Sus scrofa: one gene and its partner. The protein of the gene in region 1 binds, or shares a complex with, the protein of each later gene. Links are inferred from orthologs where the notes say so. Each region holds a gene or a part of one and is shown in the gene's direction. Other genes may lie near its edges.

Region 1 (9,204 bases):
GACCTTTGACTGATTGGCTTTCATTATTTTCTATTTCAGAATTTATACATCTGAATGATTGCACAGAAAGAAATGACTGTTGTCGTATTCAACACACACGTTTTTAGTGAATATATATAAATATTTCTTGTATTTTTGTATCAGACCAGACTAAGATACTTTAGTATCTTACTCATCCAGCTTTGCCCCCAAAGCAACAAAGAACATGTGGCTTACCTAACTGGTGCTTATTACCATTTCCATGCATAATGTACTCTTTGGAAGAACAACAGAGTAGATTAAGAAATTTTCCAAGAGTCCCGTCCAGGTATATGAACAATTAGGAATTGTATATGGGAGTTCCTGTCGTAGCGCAGCAGAAACCAATCTGCCTAGGAACCATGAGGTTGAGGGTTTGATCCCTGGCCTTGCTCAGTGGGTTGAGGATCTGGTGTTGCCGTGAGCTGTGGTGCAGTCTGCCGATGCAGCTCGGATCTGGCATTGTTGTGGCTGTGGTGTAGGCTGGCAGTTGTAGCTCTGATTGGACCTCTAGCCTGGGAACCTCCATATGCTGAGGGAGCAGCCCAAGAAATTGAAAAAAATAAAAAAATAAAAAATAAAATGGACCTTCCTGCTCAGAAAAGTACATTATTTTTCTCTCATGTAAAATTCATTCTGACACAGGAGTAGTTAAAAGGAAAGGAGAGGACACCAAGGTGCTTCATAGCTCATTTGAGAAAATTCTATACTTTAGGTGGTTTCCTAATGCTGCAGCTGTTTGACCTTTAAAAGGAACGGCTCTGTAGTTTAATATTTAGGATTAGTATTCATTAATTTGAGATATAAAATGATGACAACTTATGTTTAGCAAAAATATAATGTACTATTATTGCATTTAAGAGTAATCCATTGACAAGTCATGGCAAATTCTTAGAATTAGGAGTTGGGAGGCTCAGCCCCTTTTTCTGTGTGCTCTACTGGGTGAGCTCGCTGTCACCACATTTACCCTAGAAAGAGGTTTTCAGAAATAATTTGGGGGGCAGTAGAAAATTATCCAGTGAAGATTTATAATATTTAGTTGCTTAAAACAGTGACTTTAGAGAATATAGTTTTATTTCACAGTTCCTAAAGTTAAAAATGTCATGAGTTTAAGATTTAAGATAATGTTAGGCAATGAAAACATATTTAGTATGTGTAAATGTGGCAATACTTTGTCTCCAAAACACATATTTTTTGATGAATTTATAAATGCTTCTTTTTTTCTCTATAGAATTCTTATAGTGCCTTAAAGCTACTATAATGTATAGTATTAAGTTATTGTTTCAGATTTTTGTTTGGCTGTCACTGTGTTCAAAAAAATTTTGGGGAGTTCCCATCGTGTCACAGTGGTTAACGAATCCGACTAGGAACCATGAGGTTGCGGGTTCGGTCCCTGCCCTTGCTCAGTGGGTTAACAATCCTGCGTTGCCGTGAGCTGTGGTGTAGGTTGCAGACGCGGCTCGGATCCTGCGTTGCTGTGGCTCTGGCATAGGCCGGAGGCTACAGCTCCGATTCAACCCCTAGCCTGGGAACCTCCATATGCCGCGGGAGCAGCCCAAGAAATAGCAACAACAACAACAACAGCAAAAAAGACAAAAGACAAAAAAAAAAAAAAAAAAAAAAAAACAAACAAAAACTTGGGTCCTCTTTGTACATCTATTAAGCAGAATTTCCTGAAAATATATCAAAATAGCTTTTAAAAAAAATTGGAAAGGAGCATTTACTTGTAGGTAATCCTGGGATTATTTGGCTCTGGCTAGGATATTTATTTGTAGTCATCACCTCCATTGATGGGAAGGCATTATAATTTAGAAGAATGCTCAGTCAACAGTTTTGGCATTTTTATCTTTTCTTCAATATCAAATATTTGTTCACAGATTTTGCACCATTTTTGAACAATTCACGTAAGTCAATGGTAACTCATGAGCTAACTGGAAGATGGGCTAAAAATACTTTATAAAGTACTAACTTCTATTAAACATTGTTTTGCTACAATTTTAAGGGGAGTTATAGTCCATTAATGTTGGTGGATCTGTACTAAGATATTTGATTTGAGATGATGCTTTTATTTGGATCATTCCAAAATATATATGCAGAGCAAAATTTAATTTATTATTATCAAATAATTTCCTTTAAAAAAAACTAGCTTTTAAACTGAGTATATACACAATTCTTATTGTAGCAAAACTCTATCTCAATAATCAGCTGATCTTTTAGAATAAATAACTTTAGGTGGTGGTTTCATATACTCTTATAGTATAAGCATTTCTGTCCAGAGAGATTTGAGTTTTATATGATAATGTGTACAAGCTTAATAGAATACCTCTTAATAGGAAGGGGAGATTATTCTTTTCTCTCTCTTTTTTTTTTTTGTCTTTCTAGGGCCACACCCACAGCATATGGAGGTTCCTAGGCTAGGGGTCATCAGAGTTGTAGCCGCTAGGCTACACCACAGCCACAGCAGCACTGGATCCTCACCCACTGAACGGGCCAGGGATCGAACCTGTGTCCTCCTGGATGCTAGTCAGATTTGTTTCCACTGAGCCACGACAGGAACTCCTCTTTTCCTTTTATAGCTGCCCATGGTGCAGTTTTTTATTTTATTTATTTTTAATGGCCTCACCTATGGCATATGGAAGTTCCCCTTATGTCTTCTTTCACATTAGACTACAAAATCCCTCAGAAAAGGGATGGAGCCTTCCTCATCTATGTGTCCTCAGAATCTACCATTCATAGGTACATCATAGCTCCCAACACTGCTTGACATTCACTCATGGAGGAACTTAGACTGATGTGTGATGGGAAACAGAACAAGGCACCGTCAGAGTGAGCCCAGGTTTAGGAAGAGCTCCAATTAGAAGAAATAGCCTTGGCCACTGAGGCTTGGCCCATGTGTTTTACTGCCCATGTCAGTGTTCTGGAGGCTTCATTCCTGGCAAGTGATTCTGAATCCAGTTGATATCATAATTGCACAGCCCATTGCAGTTTGAACAATAATCCACAATCCTCTGACTTGTTTATTTCTTTTTAGGGCTGTACCTGCAGCAAATGGAAGTTCCTGGGCCAGGTGGGGAATCAGAGCTGCAGCTGCCAGCCTACACCATAGCCACAACAACACTGGTTCCAAGCCACATCTGTGGCCTACTCCACAGATTGCAGCAATATCGGATCCTTAATCCAATGAGGGAGGCCAGGGATCTAACCTTGCATCTGCATAGACACTGTGTTAGGTTCTTAATCCACTGAGCCACATTGGGTACTCCTATTTTTTGATAGTTTAAAAGCTTTGAGTCATCTTTGTGTACAGTAGATTTCTTATAAGTCATTTGAGCAGTAATGATTTGAATATAATGCCATATTTATCTGCCAACTCATTGAACATGCTTTTTTTTTAAGTGCTTCTAATGGAGTTCCTTTTGTTGCTCAGTGGTTAATGAACCTGACTAGGATCCATGAGGACGTGGGTTTGATCTCCGACCTCACTCAGTGGGTTAAGGATCCAGCATTGCTATAAGCTGTGGCGTAGGTTGATTCGACTCCTAGCCTGGGAACCTCCATAATGCTGTGGGTGTGCCCCCAAATAGCAAAAAACAAAGTGCTTATACTAATTTACAGGGCTACACTTGAAACTTATTCATACTTTTAAAATAACACAATTGGATTTGAAAGAAATGATTGTTTAGAAATTAGTTTCAGGAGTTCCTTTCATGGCCCAGTGGTTATAAGGATGTGTGTTTGATCCCTAGCCTTGCTCAGTGGTTTAAGGATCTGGCATTGCCGTGAGCTGTGGTGTAGGTTCTCAGGCACAGCTTGGATCCTGCATTGCTGTGGATGTGGTGTAGGCCAGAAGCTATAGCTCCGATTAGAAGCCTAGCCTGGGAACTTCCATATGCTGCACGTACGGCCCTAAAAAGCAAAAAAAAAAAAAAAAAAAAAAAAAAAAAAAATCCAATTGAATATTTTTATTTTAAAAGAATAAAAGTAGATTAGTCTTACTGGTGGCCATTAGTATTGCAGTGTTTCTGGTCAAGGAACACTGAGCTCTAATTCACTACTTAACACAGAGGGAAGGGTTTGTTTTATAAAATGTCTTAGTTTTGAGTTAGTATACTCTCTGAAGAGTAGATAGTTTTTAAAACTTGAAATCGATACACTAAACTGTAAGTTGTTTTGAGGAAACAGGAACAAGAGAATAAATAAACTCATCTCTGTTAATGTGCTAAAGGTTACGGCTTTTTAAGTCACTAACAAATCTGGGTCTTTTCCTTTCCTTCATAGGCATATACATCTTTGCTAACTGCTTTTTGCTCTCTCTTGTTTGCATGGAAATAAATTCAGCTATTGGTAAATGTAAACCTTTTACTATTGGTGTAAAAAATAAGGAGTAATTTCATCCTTTCAGTACTTGGAAAATCTTAAAAAGGCATGTGACTGTCCTTGACTTATGCATATTATATAATTTTTCATTGACATACTTAGCTTTTCAGTGAGATTCTTAATTGAGATGCAGTCAATGATTAAAGTTGTGAGCATAGAGCCCATATTAAACAGATTTACCAAAATGACACTCCTAAAAATATAGTCATTGTACCAGAGAACTGTTTATTTTCAAAAACAAACAAAAAACAACAAAAAAACAACTTCTCATTGTTTAGTAATGAAAATTGAGCAAGGGAAAAAAGATTGCTAGGAACCCAAAGTATTAGCAGAAAAGTAAGCATTTTTCTTTTCTGTTAGCAAGGAGAACCAAATATTATACACTTTCCACTTATCTTCAGTGGATTTTTTTTCCAGAAGTCTGATTTCAGAGTAAGTGAATCTCTGAGTGAAAGTTCATGCTTACTGTTAGGGTTTTGATGTCATAAAGTTATGTTAGTAAAATGTTTGTGTTATCTGGGCCATTTTAAACCCCAAAATCAGTTGGCAAAGGAGAAAACTTTTAGGTCTTTTTGAGGAAATTGTGATTCAGTTGACAAATGCCTATAATCCTGGAGAGTTGTGAAATTACTGTCTAGTTGTTCCATCATGAATCATCCTGTAAAAGTTATTCTGCAGCCTTCACTTGAACTCCTTGGAGGAAAACTATAAGTTGAGCAAACAACACTAGTTTGCTCTCCTGCCATGTAAGATCATTTTAGTATAGGTACAATCATTTGTGGGAATCTGCTGGGAGCTGGTAGTTGTTATTGCTGCTGCTGCTGCTGCTGCTGCTGCTGCTGCTGCTGGTGTGGGTGTATGTGTGTATGTGCGTGTATATGTGTGTATGTGTATGTATATATGTGTATGTTTGCAGTGCCAAGATACATCTTCAGGGAAAGAAATTTCTAAGAAATCGCACTTAGAATTATATTCATTTATAGGCAATTCATATTTACATTTTGCTTGAAATTGACTATTAGGAACCCCTCTTCTTCCTTTTTTAAAAACAAGTGGTGCACTTTAGGATTAAAGGCTGCTTTCGTTATCCTGGTGTGACTGTCCTTATTCCCTGTGACAGCTCAGCAGAACCCAGCAGTGCAGCTCCCTGCCAGGCAGCAGGAGATCGAAATGAACCGGCAGCAGCGTTTCTTCCGCATTCCGTTCATCCGCCCTGCGGACCAGTACAAAGACCCTCAGAATAAGAAGAAAGGCTGGTGGTATGCCCATTTTGATGGACCGTGGATCGCCCGGCAAATGGAACTTCATCCTGACAAACCACCCATCCTCCTTGTGGCTGGTGTGTATGATTCACATGCAATCAAAAATAATTATAAAGCATAAAAGGACTACGTGCCCTCAGAGTGAAACAGTGTAATATACCATGATGTAATCTTTCCTTAAACTTCAGGGTCAGGAGCAGGCATGGAGTTTTGCAGTTAAGTCATCTCTGTTGAAGATCACTTATTTGTGGTGTGAGGTTGCTTGGGTTAATTATGTCCTTGTAGAACACATAGAAACTTATCTGTGTCTTAAGAACCTTTTCTTGGGTGTTTAATTGTATCATTTGCTTTCTAATGGTTAAATGTAGCCTTTTTAGTAACCCTGGTAACTGGTTTGATCAACTGCACTTTTAATACATTTTGAAAGGGTACTTGCTCAAGGACAGATTTATTTCTGGCCAATTTATTAAGCAGATTTCAATCTTGAAGGAAATAAAGGTTTTTTTAAAAAATATTTTAAAGTATAGTTGATTTACAATGTGCCAGTTTTTGCTGTATAGCAGAGTGGCTCAGTTTTATATATATAGTCTTATATTCTTTTCCATCATGTTCTGTCCCAAGAGACTGGACATAGTTCCCTATGCTATATAGTAGGCCCTCATTGTTATCCATTCTAAATGTAGTAGTTTGCATCTACTAACCACAAACTCCCCGTCCATCCCACTCCCTCCTCCCTCCCCCCTGGTAACCACCAGTCTCTTCTCTGTGAGTCTGTTTCTGTTTTATGAATAGGTTCATTTGTGCCTTACTTTAGATTCCACATGTAAATGATATCATAATGGCATTTGTCTTTTTCTGACTTCACTTAGTGTAATAATCTCTGAAATAAAGTTTTAAAAGTTCTCAAATCTCTGCAAATTGATAGACATGTCAGGAGTAAAGTTTACAGTAAATGGTTCTGGAAGGAGGTGTGGTAATTCTCTGATGTCTCGTGTTTGCAGGTAAGGATGACATGGAGATGTGTGAGCTGAATCTTGAAGAGACAGGCCTGACTCGAAAGCGTGGTGCAGAGATTTTGCCAAGACAGTTCGAAGAAATTTGGGAACGCTGTGGAGGCATCCAGTATCTTCAGAATGCAATTGAGAGCAGACAGGCTAGGCCCACATATGCCACGGCCATGCTGCAGAACCTGTTAAAGTAGAAGTTGCACTAACCTTGCAGCTGGGAGCTCTTGCCATGGTACTGGGTAGGGAGTGTGCCCCAGACATTGACCCATTCCAGGATCCAGTTAGAGTTATGTAAACAAAGTGAACAGATTTTATTAATCATGGCTTTTTGTTAATTTAAGGTTAATTACAGTAGTGAATTGGGGACCTGAAAATTAGTTTCTTGTATCCAGCTATAACTGTTGAACCTCTCATGATTTTAATACTTGTTACACTTGGGCAGATTCTGAACCATTTCTCATTCTTTGCCAACAGACTACCTTAAATCTATCATCACTGTTCTTGAGGAAAAGAAGTTTTTTAAAAAAATGCAGATTTCTTGCTTTTTAAGAATGACACAGTACCATATAACTGGAATAAAGAAAACTTAGTTTCAGTTTTCCTACAAAACTAAGGCGCTTAAAATGATAAAGCACTGATGTTTTGATCTGAAAGCTGTGAATTTTATTCATTTTTTCAGAAATTAATGGCATTTCCGTCAAAGGTAGAAATTTTTATTTTCCTCACTCTTTTGCAGTGTTTTATTTGAGTAAAGCAATTTACCTGAAATTCTAGAATTCTGGAAGAACCTAAATGTATTTGATGCTATCTGTGACAAAGAAGGTACATAGTATCCTGCAGAGATGTGTTTTGGTTTTCTGTCACATTGTATTGCTATAAGAATATGTTTCATGGACAAATAAAGGAAATTCAGATCATTTAAATGCTTACAAGTTTGAGATAACTTTGGTTTCATTTAGAAAAGGAAATAAGTTTTAGGTGGCACTGTGGCTTAACTGGACTGAATTCAAATATTCTTTCAATTTCATCTCAGTTGCAATTTTGTATCAGAATCTTGTCCAAGTTGTTTCATGTGATTTGAGCTAGTTTTCTGCTTCAAAACATCTTTGGTTTTAAAAAATTCCTGTTGTCTTTTTTTTTGGCCTTTGAGATTTTGGTAATTGTAGAGCTCTTTTATAAGCTTTGTAGTTCAAATCCCTACACTTAGGAATTGCTTGTTTCATGTAACTGATAATTTAAAAAAATTGTTTTGTTGGTGTGCTGTTAGTTTTGCTCAAATGTCAGCAGTTTCAAGCCTAATATTTATGACTTTCATATTAGAAATTTGGAAACAAAAATACATCAAGGAGTTATGTTGACATAATTCTAAGGAGTCTTGTTTGTATTTTAGAATAAAATTAGAAAATAAAATTATTCTCTGTACTTCTTTCCCCCATGATTGTTAAAGACTCTAACCTTAGAAATGAATTTCCAGTGATTTTTTTTTTTTTTCCCTAGAAAGAGTACTTAGTTAGGAAAGTACTTCCCAGCTGATTGGATTAGTGCTTGTGAGTCAGACATTGTTTTCAGACCTGCTTCTCTCATGATATGTCTTAGTATAGAAATATTTATTTATTATGATACTGAGCAGATGATTGTCTTCTGTTAAAAGAATTAAATGGTCCTGTCTGTGCTATTGAGAATGTGAACATGATTATCGTTTGAAGACTGTATTACCACATGGACTTGCCTATGCTTGGTCATTTGGGCCCTATGATTTGGTGACAGAAGGTCTGGTTACTGAAAATAAATGACCCTTCTCCCTCTTCTCATCACTTGCTTTGAACTGGTTTTTATTCGGATAGGATAGTGAATGATAAGCTTTTTTTCTTGACTGGTAACAAGTAGAGTCTTTGAAAAAAAATTTAGGAACCAGATTGATGTCGAATGAGTTGTCCCTTTAGTACTGTTTTCAGAACCAGTTTTCTTTCTTCGTGTGTGTGTGTGTGTGTGTGTGTCTTTTCTAGGGCCACATCCACAGCATATGGAGGTTCCCAGGCTAGGGGTGTAATCGGAGCTGTAGCTGCCAGCCTACACCAGAGCCACAGCAACACGGGATCCAAGCCATGTCTGTAACCTACACCATAGCTCAGGGCAATGTCAGATCCTTAATCCACTGAACGAGGCCAGGGATTTAACCGGCAACCTCATGGTTCCCAGTTGTATTCGTTAGCCAGTGAGCCACCACGGGAACTCCCAGAACCAGTTTTCTGTGTCTTTGTGATATGTAGGCACTAGAAAGAAAACTAGTCAAACAGGCTAAAATTACTGTAATGAGAGAACTTAATGTTTTGAAGAATTTGTAAGAAATATATCACAGCAAAGAATTGATACAGGTCTTTAAGTTTTTTATTTTAAGAGTTAATGAAATTAGTTAGCCTTAAGCCATTTTGTTGCTAATCATGTCACACAGCTGTCCTAGAACTTTTCTATTTTAAGTAGTCTCCAGAGTTAATTTTGGCTACCAGGAGAACTGCCCTGATTCAGACAGACTTAGAGTA
Region 2 (9,204 bases), on another chromosome or scaffold:
CAACCTCATCATTCCTAGTTGGATTCATTAACCACTGAGCCATGATGGGAATTCTTAGTTAGACATTTTTGATCCGGAGTGTTTTTTGGAAAGTTCTTGATGTCTTATACCCCCCGTGTTTGAAATCCAGTTTTGTTGTAATGGAATATGATAGAGGATAATGTGAGAAAAAGATGTATATATATTTGATATATATATTTGACTGGGTCACTTTGCTGTACAGTAGAAAATTGACAGAACGCTATAAATCAACTATAATGGAAAAAAATAAAAATCATTAAAAAAAGAAATCCAGTTATGTTGCTTTTTAGCTGTGTTATTTTGGTTAAGCCATGTCTTCACTGTGCCTTGATTTCCTCATTCACTAATGGAATAATACATATTCCTTTCCCAGGCTTGTTAGGACTAAATGAAATCACTATTTATAGTTGTTACCAGAATGTTCATTATTATGAACATGGTTTGAGGCCAGTGTTTGGAGAGTCAGCAGCACAGACTCTGAGTTGCTCTCCATGGCAGTAGGCTTGGCTCAGACAATCTTGAATTAGTGCTTAAGACTTTGAGGACAGCATTTGGAGTGGATAAGCAATGAGATTCTGCTCTATATCTAGTCACTTGTGATGGAACATGATGGAGAATAATATGAGAAAAAGAATGTATATACATATATGTGTGGCTGGGTCACTTTGCTATACAGTAGAAAACTGATAGAACACTGTAAACCAACCATAACGGAAAAAATAAAAATCATTAATCATTTAAAAAAAAAAAAAAGACTTTATGGACAGTGGGTTGGCATGCTAGAGTTCTGCTGTTCTGTGATGAGAATCTAGAATTCTTTAATTATATGGGATGAATTAATGAAAGTTAATATAATGATGGTCTGAAATATTTGGGAACCTCTAAGTTGAATAGTATTGTGAGTCCCATTGTCCAAAAAAGATTTGCTGTTGTCTTTGCCTTTCGCAGGACTGAGCTCCAAAGCGAGATGTGGGAGTGTTCTAAGTGTTACAGAGAATGTTAAGTGACTCAGTAAATGATAAATAGAGAATTAATGCCTCTTTTTCCTTGCTAGTCCTTTGTGCCCGAGTAGCAGAGTTCTAGTAATATTGTTCATCTCTATTAAGCTATGGTATGATTAGTAAAGTATATTAGATTTCAGAAACTTGTCTCAATTGCTACCTCATTCTTTATCTATTTATTTAGGAAGCTAAGGCCCAGGTAACCCACAAAATATACAATCAGTGTCTCCTACTTTGTTTCTATATCTGGTTCACTTATGGTGCCCTTTTCTAAGTTTCTTATCCTGATTTTCCTCTCTTCATCCCAGAATCTTATTTGCTGCCCCTGATCATTACATATTTCTCTTGACCACCTGGATTCTCACCTTGCTGCCTGCTGACTTCTGGTAACCGCCTTTCCTTCTTCTGTCTGAGCCCTGTTCTGGGGACTTCTGTGGCTACTCTGCTGTTTAGGTGATAAGATTCATACATGTCTTTAAAGTGTTTCATTTAGTTTCATATAACACTTATTTATTTTTTATTTTATTTTTCACCACACCCATGGCATGTGATATTTCCTGGGCTAGGGATCGAATCCATACCACAGCCATGACCTGAGCTGCTGCAGTGATGCCGGATTCTTAACCTGTTGTGCCACAAAGGAACTCCAATGTAACGCTTATTTTATTTCTTTTTGTCTTTTTAGGGCCGAACCCGCAGCATATGGAAGGTCCCAGGCTAGGGTTCAAATCGGAGCTACAACTGCTGGCCTACGCCACAGCCATAGCAACGTGGGATCTGAGCCACATCTGGAACCTACACCACAGCTCACAGATGTGCCGAATCTCCGACCCACTGAGCGAGGCCAGGGATCAAACCTCACCTATCTCTTTAAGTACCAGTTTTCTGAGCTAAGGTTGTACCAATTCTTGTCTTGCATTTGTAGCTAAGGTTGAAATAATATAGCTGGTAGAAAAAACTCAGGCTTTATTCTGATGTAATGGACCTCATGTTGAAATGATTCAGCAGTCATTTAAGGAGGGATTTTTCTGTGTGGTCATTATGCTGGGCACAGGGCGTACAATGGTGAATAAGACCATCTCTGTCCCCAAGGATATTATAATTTAACAGCAGAGACTGAGGGGGTAAATGAACAATTGCACTGTGGTATGTTGAATCTGTGAAATCACCTGATCCTCCTGATCTATGACCTGAGTCTCTCATAAAGGTTGTTAAACGAGATAGCGAATGTAAAGTGCTTAGCTCAGAGCCCAGCAGAAAATACCGCAGAAGCATGAGAGGACCCTTTACCTAGTCTTGAGGGAATAGGCTGGGAGGTGTCAGGAAAAGCTGCTTGGAGGAGGTGGGGACTGTGATGGAGCTGAATTTTGCAAAGAAACAAGAAGAATGGGTTGGGTTTAGGACGGTTGTCTGTTGTTGCTTGGTCTTCTGTCTTTAAGGGAACATTACACTGCATTATGGATATTGTCAGTACATTGAATATAATGTCTCAAGAACATGAAAAGTAATGTTACTCAGTTCTATTTTATATTAAGCATTATCCTTAATTTTCTTTCAGAGAATTAAAGATGGCAGTGTAATTGACTCTGTTAAAACGATCTGTGTGGGGGACCACATCGAATCCATCAATGGAGAAAATATCGTTGGGTGGCGTCACTTTGATGTTGCCAAGAAGTTAAAGGAATTAAAAAAAGAGGAACTCTTTACCTTGAAGTTAATAGAACCTAAAAAGGCCTTTGGTGAGTGAAATGTTCCCCTGGCTTATCTTTTAAGGGACATGAGTCCTGGAATATAGCGCCATGTGCTTATGCCTATCAGTTAAGAGCATAGGAAATGGTAGACAGCACTGCTTAGAAGGAAAACAAGCATTGAAGGAGAAAAAAAATTGCCTAGAAGGACATTTTCTTAAAAAGACATTTGGAGTTATAAAGTCTAGTGTCTAGTGGCTCTGAATTTGTTCCAGATGCCAAGAACAGCACATTGTATTGCATTCATCCTGCTGAGCAGGGAGATTTTCGATTGAGCTCTCTAAACAGTAGTAAATGTCATTCATGGACCTTAACAGCAAAAACTTTAGCTACACACAGAATTGGTGTTTAAAGGAATTAGCTAGTCTATCTGAAAGACTTCCTTCAATGCGTTTCCTCCCTTAGCCTTTTGAATTTGGCAAATGTGGACCGATATGAAATTACTTCTGCTTTGGTGTGACATCTGTACTTGTTTGGTTTTAGCCATGGCAGCTGTGTTCCAACTGTTGTTCAAACCCCCAGGGCCATCTCATCTACAGGAAAATGTGCCAGCTTCTCTCTCTCTACCCAGCACTATTTTAATAAGCCAACTGATGCTTTAGTGTTCATCAGTGTTAAAATACTTTTCGGCAGAATCATTCTGGGCCTGCCCTTACTCACCCGGCAACTCCACCCACCTAATATTCTTCCCTTTGCTCACAAAACATAAATATTCCATTTGTCTTGAATGGCTATTTTCTCAGGGCAATTCAGGATAATGATGGGAGAATGCAGTGGGTCTGGGGAAACACATTTCCCTTCCCTTAGCAAGTAAGGGTCCACTCTTAGCCATCTGAAATTGAGAAATTGTCTCTGCTTCCAAGCAATTCTCTGTCATTTACTAGAAATACAGTGTAAGTGGTATTGCTTATGGGAGACAGAATTCTGAAAAAAAAAAAAAAAATGTAAGAAAAGGACGCCTTATTGCCTAGCGCTGCTCCTGGAGGGACCGTTCCAGGAACCGCTGGTGCAGAGACTCAGATTCTGCCTGTTGTATAACAGCATCTGAGCTCTCTTCCTGCAGAGGAAGGTGGGCCAGCTCTCAGATTTCTATCCAGCAGGTCCTTTTGTAATGGCTTTGTTTGGTAACCAACTTTCAGGTTGGTTAGGCTGATGGTAAGTATTCGATTTAAGCTCTTTGTAAATCAAAGTTATTCTCTTAGTACAACTCAAGGAATGGAATTTCTTTCTACATCTATATCCTCCACATCATCTGTTTTCTAGAGTTAATCTCTTCCTATATTTCCTTGCCTGCATGTAAATCATGTGGTCCCTGGGCTTTTTGTAGCAAGTTGCTGATACACCTTAACTTGAATGTGAGGTTGGTAATAGTCTTGGTTGTTACAGAGGTCACTGTGTTTAGCTATTATCGCTCCATGATTAGATTTTTCCCCCTCAATATCTGAGACCCATGTGTAGATGGTTAATGTACTTTACTGCCTATGTGCCTCCTGAAGCTACTCTTCTTTTTTTTTTTTTTTGGCTGCACCTGTGGCATGTGGAAGTTCCTAGGCCAGGGATTGAACCTGAGCCACGGCAGTGACAATGCTGAGTCCTTAACTGCTAGGCCACCAGGGAACTCCCTGAACCTTCTCCTTTGCTTCACATGAATTCCACAAAAAAATCTGAGAATGACAAAGAGTAGTAGTTTCCTAATGAGAGTATATTGTTTTGGCATCGCATGTTCCGATGGTGTGGGGGTTAGGATACCTGGAGACTGATTTTGGAGCAGGGACAAGTTTTTATTCTCCAAGGTCCCAACAGTAGCTTATCTCAATTTAACCCCAATTAAATCTGCTGGTCTAAATGCATTTTCCACTCTGTGGATTAATCTTTGTTTTGGGGCCCTAGCCTGGGAACTTCTCTCTTAGAAGTAGGCCTCACTGCTCTGCCCATCCTTCAGCTCTTAAATTTGGTGATGTTTTTGCCTCTAGGATAAAGGTAATGCTAGTTTGTTCCTCATCCTGTGGCCTCATTCCTGTGCGTGGCCTTTTTCCAGTGAGGGAGCATATATCAGGAGGCACCTGGGGAACCATGCTTGGCTCCATTCTCTTCATCTCAGTCTAATCTTTTGCTTTGTGTCCTTCCTTCCTCTGTTTTTCTAGCGTTTTCATTGATGCGTTGCTTCAGATTTAAAGTCCTTCATGATTGTCTGACTCTGTCCTCTTGGATTCCTACCAGGAGAAAGGGCAAAGTGAAGCAAAATTCTTTTCTCTGCATTTAAATAGGCCATTTTGGCTGAAGTTAAGTCATTTCTGGGACTTTTTCAAAAGCTGTCGGAAATAGCCACACATTCCAGTATTTTGACTTTTTCCAACCAACTTCGCTCAAGATTTATTCTGGGGAGGTTTGTTAGACAGTGTCCCAAAGTACAGGATGGGGGGCTGCTTTGTGGGAGCATAACAAAGGTTATGAACACAATCTCTCAGCCATTGATAAAGGAACCCTTATTGCCCGCTCTATTTGCATCATTTAGGTCCCTACCCACATCCCTCTTGTAGCGGCCACTCTTTGTGTCAAGATTATTTGAGAGCTCTGGAATAAGCACTATCTATAATTTAAAGAAAAAGCATTTTTTTTTTTTTTTTGGAAAGACTATCAGGTAGGTCTCAGAAACAAAAAGACAATCAAGTCTTGGGAAGGTAGGAACCAAGGCTGTTTCAGGGATGTGCAAACCAGGAACCCTTCATGGTACTGGCTTAGTTGCCTCCTTCCAGTTATTCCCTAATTTTTTTTTTTTTTTTTTGTCATTCCCAGGGCATGTGGCTGTTCTGGGGCCAGGGATCAAACCTGTGCCACATCAGGGACAATGACAGATCTTTAACTTGCTGAGCCACCGGGGAACTCCTATTCCTTATTTTCATGTTACTTCACTGAGGATTCAAATTCCTGGAGTGGAAGGGGACTGATTAGGTTATGCGTCCATCCTGATAGTGGGAGGGCAGGCTACAAGACCCATCAAAATCACACAGAGCAGTGAAAGTGGGGGAGTTTCCTTTGGGTAGGAAAAAGCAGATGTTTACCATTTCTCTAAGCTGCTGTACCTTGTTCTTTAGGCAGAGAAGGGTTAGTTTTCTCTTATCTTTGAATCTGACTATAGCCATGCATGATGCTGTCAGTCTGAGTGTGTCAGAATCTAGAGAGATGAGGGTATTGGCAACTGGCTTTGGGTGTCTTGTTATAAGGATTTTATTATTCTAAGAGTTAGGTGCTGTATAAATGGTTATTTGGCAATGAGATATCTGGAGGCCATAACAGTATCAAGCTTTCTCTCAGAAAAGACTAAAGCCATCATATTTGAAGGGGCCTCACTTTGTAGATTTGGACTGTACTCTTGGAAGGTCCTTCATTTATGTATCCCAGAAATAAAATTTCAGAATTTGCTGTGTTCCAGATACTGTGCTAGCCATAGCAGATACTAAGAAAGAAGACTAAGCTATAGCTCCTGCCTTTTGAGAAGCTCACTCTGGGAGGGGACCATTATGGACCAAATTGCTTCCCCTAAAATTTGTATGTTGAAGTCAATTTTCAATACCTCAGAATGTGACTACATTTAGAGATAGGGTCTTTAAAGAAGTAATTAACCTAAAACGAGGTCATTGGTGTAGCCTGCTGGTCCAATATGACTGGTGTATTTATAAGAGGACATTTGGACATGGAGACACATAGAGGGAGAATACTATGTGAACATGAAGACAGCCATCTATAAGCCCAGGAGAGAGGCCTTAGAAGAAAGCAACCCTGGTGAAATCTTGATAATGGAATTACAGCCTACATAAGTGTAAGAAAATAGGTTTTTGTTGTTTAAGCCATGTGGTCCTTTGTTATGGCAGCCCTAGGAAACTAATATTAAGCAAAAAGAAAAGAAAAGATAGTGCAAGTTCTTTGTGGCAGTAGATCTTGGACTTCCTAACAATATAGAAGTTACAGATTAGGTATCTTAGCAGTCCTATGGCTTTGGGCAGATGGAAAATACATACTAGTATGTTTTCATTCATGGAATGTTTGAGTGATTAGCATATGCTGGTCTTAGGGTGCTTGTTGCTGGGGTGCTAGTCACTATTTATTGAGACCCTACTGGGTTCCAGCACTATACTACATGCTTGGTATATCCATAAAAAGATCTAATTCTTTCTTTTAAATAACTTGTACCTAATGGGAATAGATGGATATCAAAAAATTTCAAAAAGGGTGTTAGAATGTACTGGACATCTCAAAGTGGGATACACCAAAGCAACCAAGGCATTTAGGAAAAACTTTCCAGAGAAGGAATTTAAGCAGCATCTTAAAAGAGGCTTGCTCAGTGAACAAATCAGAGAAAGCTGTCCTAGCGAGTAGGAATAGAATAAGACAAGGTGCAGAAGCATGAGGCAGTATCATATAGCTGGGAATGTGATGTATATTGATGTAGTGGAATGGAGATTATAGATGGTGGTGTGGCAGGAAATGAAGCTCCAGAGTCAGTGGGGACCAAATTATTGAGGGCCTGATATATGAAGATAGAAAATGAGCAATGGAGAATCACTGAAGTAGTTTAGGCAGGGGAGAAACATAATGAAATTTATATTTGGAGACTGTCAGAGGGAGGAATGGATTATGACTTATTGATTTATGGATTATGACTTTATTGATTTATAAATAAATCAATATTTATTCAATAAAGACTCAATAAAGACTCTTTTGTGTTGAGGAGAATGAAGATGAGACCCTGAGTTAAGGCAGTGCCAATAGACATGGAGATAAGACGTGGTTCTGAGGAATAGACAGGGGTGTGCTGGAGCCCTATGTGCTCATCTCTTTACAATTTTATGTTCCTGGTGCAGTGGTATCAAGTTGGCTGCTTGAAATCGCCATTTACATCACAGAAATAGGCAGGTGCTGCAGGTCAAGGCTTTTTTTTTTTTTTTTTTTTAAACCTGGAAAGCTGACTGTTAGACATTTATCTGCATAAAACACTGGACACTAAGAAGGTAGAATTGGTAACCCAATGGATGTAGAGGTAAAGGAAAGGAAATTGCAAGTGATGACCTACAGATTTGTGGCTTGAGTATGGTGTCATTCTTTGAGAGGAGGAAAACTGGAAAAGAAATAGACTTGTGTGAGGCAATAGGAAGAGAAATTGTACTTACAGCACAATTTTGAGTCTTAAGAATTTGAAATATGAGGAACAGTTTGGTTGGAAATGTGTAAGACATAGATGGGTATTTAGAATTGGGTCCTAGGGGAGTTCCTGCTGTTATGCAGTGAGTTAGGAGTCCACCTGCAGTGGCCTTGTTCCCCAGTTCAATCCCTGCCCTGGCACAGTGGGCTAAGGATCCAGTGTTGCTGCAGCTGTGTTGTAGATCGCAGCTGTGGCTCAGATTTGATCCCTGGACTGGGAACTTGCATATGCTGCAGGTGCAATAAAAAAAAAAAATTGCAGGGGGTGAGTTGCCACTATGGTGCAGTGGGTTAAGAATCTGCAGGAGTTCCTATCATGGCTCAGCAGAAACGAATATGACTAGCATCCATGAGGATGCAGGTTCGATCTCTGGCCATGCTCAGTGGGTTAAGGATCCAGCATTGCTTTGAGCTGTGGTGTATATCGCAGATGTGGCTCGGATCTGGTGTTGTGGTGGCTGTGGTGCAGGCCAGTGGCTACAGCTCAATCACTGGCCTGGGAACCTTCATGTGCCATGGGTGCAACCCTAAAGAGACAAAAAAAAAAAAAAAAAAAAAAAAAAAAAAAAGAGACATAAAAAGGACCCCTGGGAATCTCCTCTGCTGTTTTAAATCACGGTTTTTCAGTCCATCGGTCTCAAACCAGTGTGTTTAGAACACAAGGTAGAGGGAGTTCCCACTGTGGCTCAATGGTAACGAACCCAACTAGTATCCATGAGGACACGGGTTCAATGCCTGCCCTCGCTCAATGGATTAAGGGAACTGGCATTTGCCGTGAGCTGTGGTGTAGGTCACAGATGTGGCTTAGATCCCGAGCTGCTGTGGCTGTGGTGCAGACCAGCAGATCTGATTCAACCCCTAGCCTGGGAACTTCCATACGCTATGGATGTGGCCCTAAAAAGACAAAGAAAAAAAAAAAAAAGAACACAAGGTAGAATGGACCTGAGACTTTCATACTGCTCCAAGCCTAGTAAGGGTAAGTATTGTTTTGGTTTCAATGTTTCCCTATGCATATGTGTGTGTTTCAGTATTTATATATTTCTCACTATATGTCATAGCAGAAGACATTTTTTTTTTGGAAAGCAACTGGTTTACATGACCCCCTTGTTGAAAACTAGTAATTTAAGGGACAATCTTTGCCATACCTAACATGGTTTCTTCTGGTCAGCTGCTTTCTGATCCACATTTTTCCTTCTTCTAGCCATGAGTTCATGGCAGCCTTCCCAGTCCTTATC

What was found.
Region 2: the proteins of MYO6 (region 1) and GIPC2 are in contact, whole or in part, in a crystal structure (PDB 5V6H), measured with the Mus musculus proteins. The link is inferred for Sus scrofa from reciprocal best matches to the Homo sapiens genes MYO6 and GIPC2. Residues at the interface, in NP_001034635.2 of Mus musculus: Ser1055, Lys1056, Trp1057, Lys1058, Tyr1059, Arg1084, Arg1085, Leu1086, Val1088, Tyr1089, Trp1092, Lys1093, Asn1096; in NP_058563.1 of Mus musculus: Glu255, Leu256, Tyr257, Met258, Gly259, Ile260, Asp262, Asp264, Leu265, Thr268, Thr289, Leu290, Asp292, Phe293, Ala294, Pro296.

The regions. Positions count from the first base shown.
Region 1 is NC_010443.5:89,992,134-90,001,337, reverse strand, and holds the end of MYO6 (unconventional myosin-VI), read left to right. Parts: intron 1-1,895; coding exon 1,896-1,922; intron 1,923-5,515; coding exon 5,516-5,734; intron 5,735-6,658; coding exon 6,659-6,858; 3' UTR 6,859-8,478; downstream 8,479-9,204. UniProt on the Homo sapiens protein: Myosins are actin-based motor molecules with ATPase activity. Unconventional myosins serve in intracellular movements. Myosin 6 is a reverse-direction motor protein that moves towards the minus-end of actin filaments.
Region 2 is NC_010448.4:135,173,023-135,182,226, reverse strand, and holds part of GIPC2 (PDZ domain-containing protein GIPC2), read left to right. Parts: intron 1-2,580; coding exon 2,581-2,761; intron 2,762-9,204.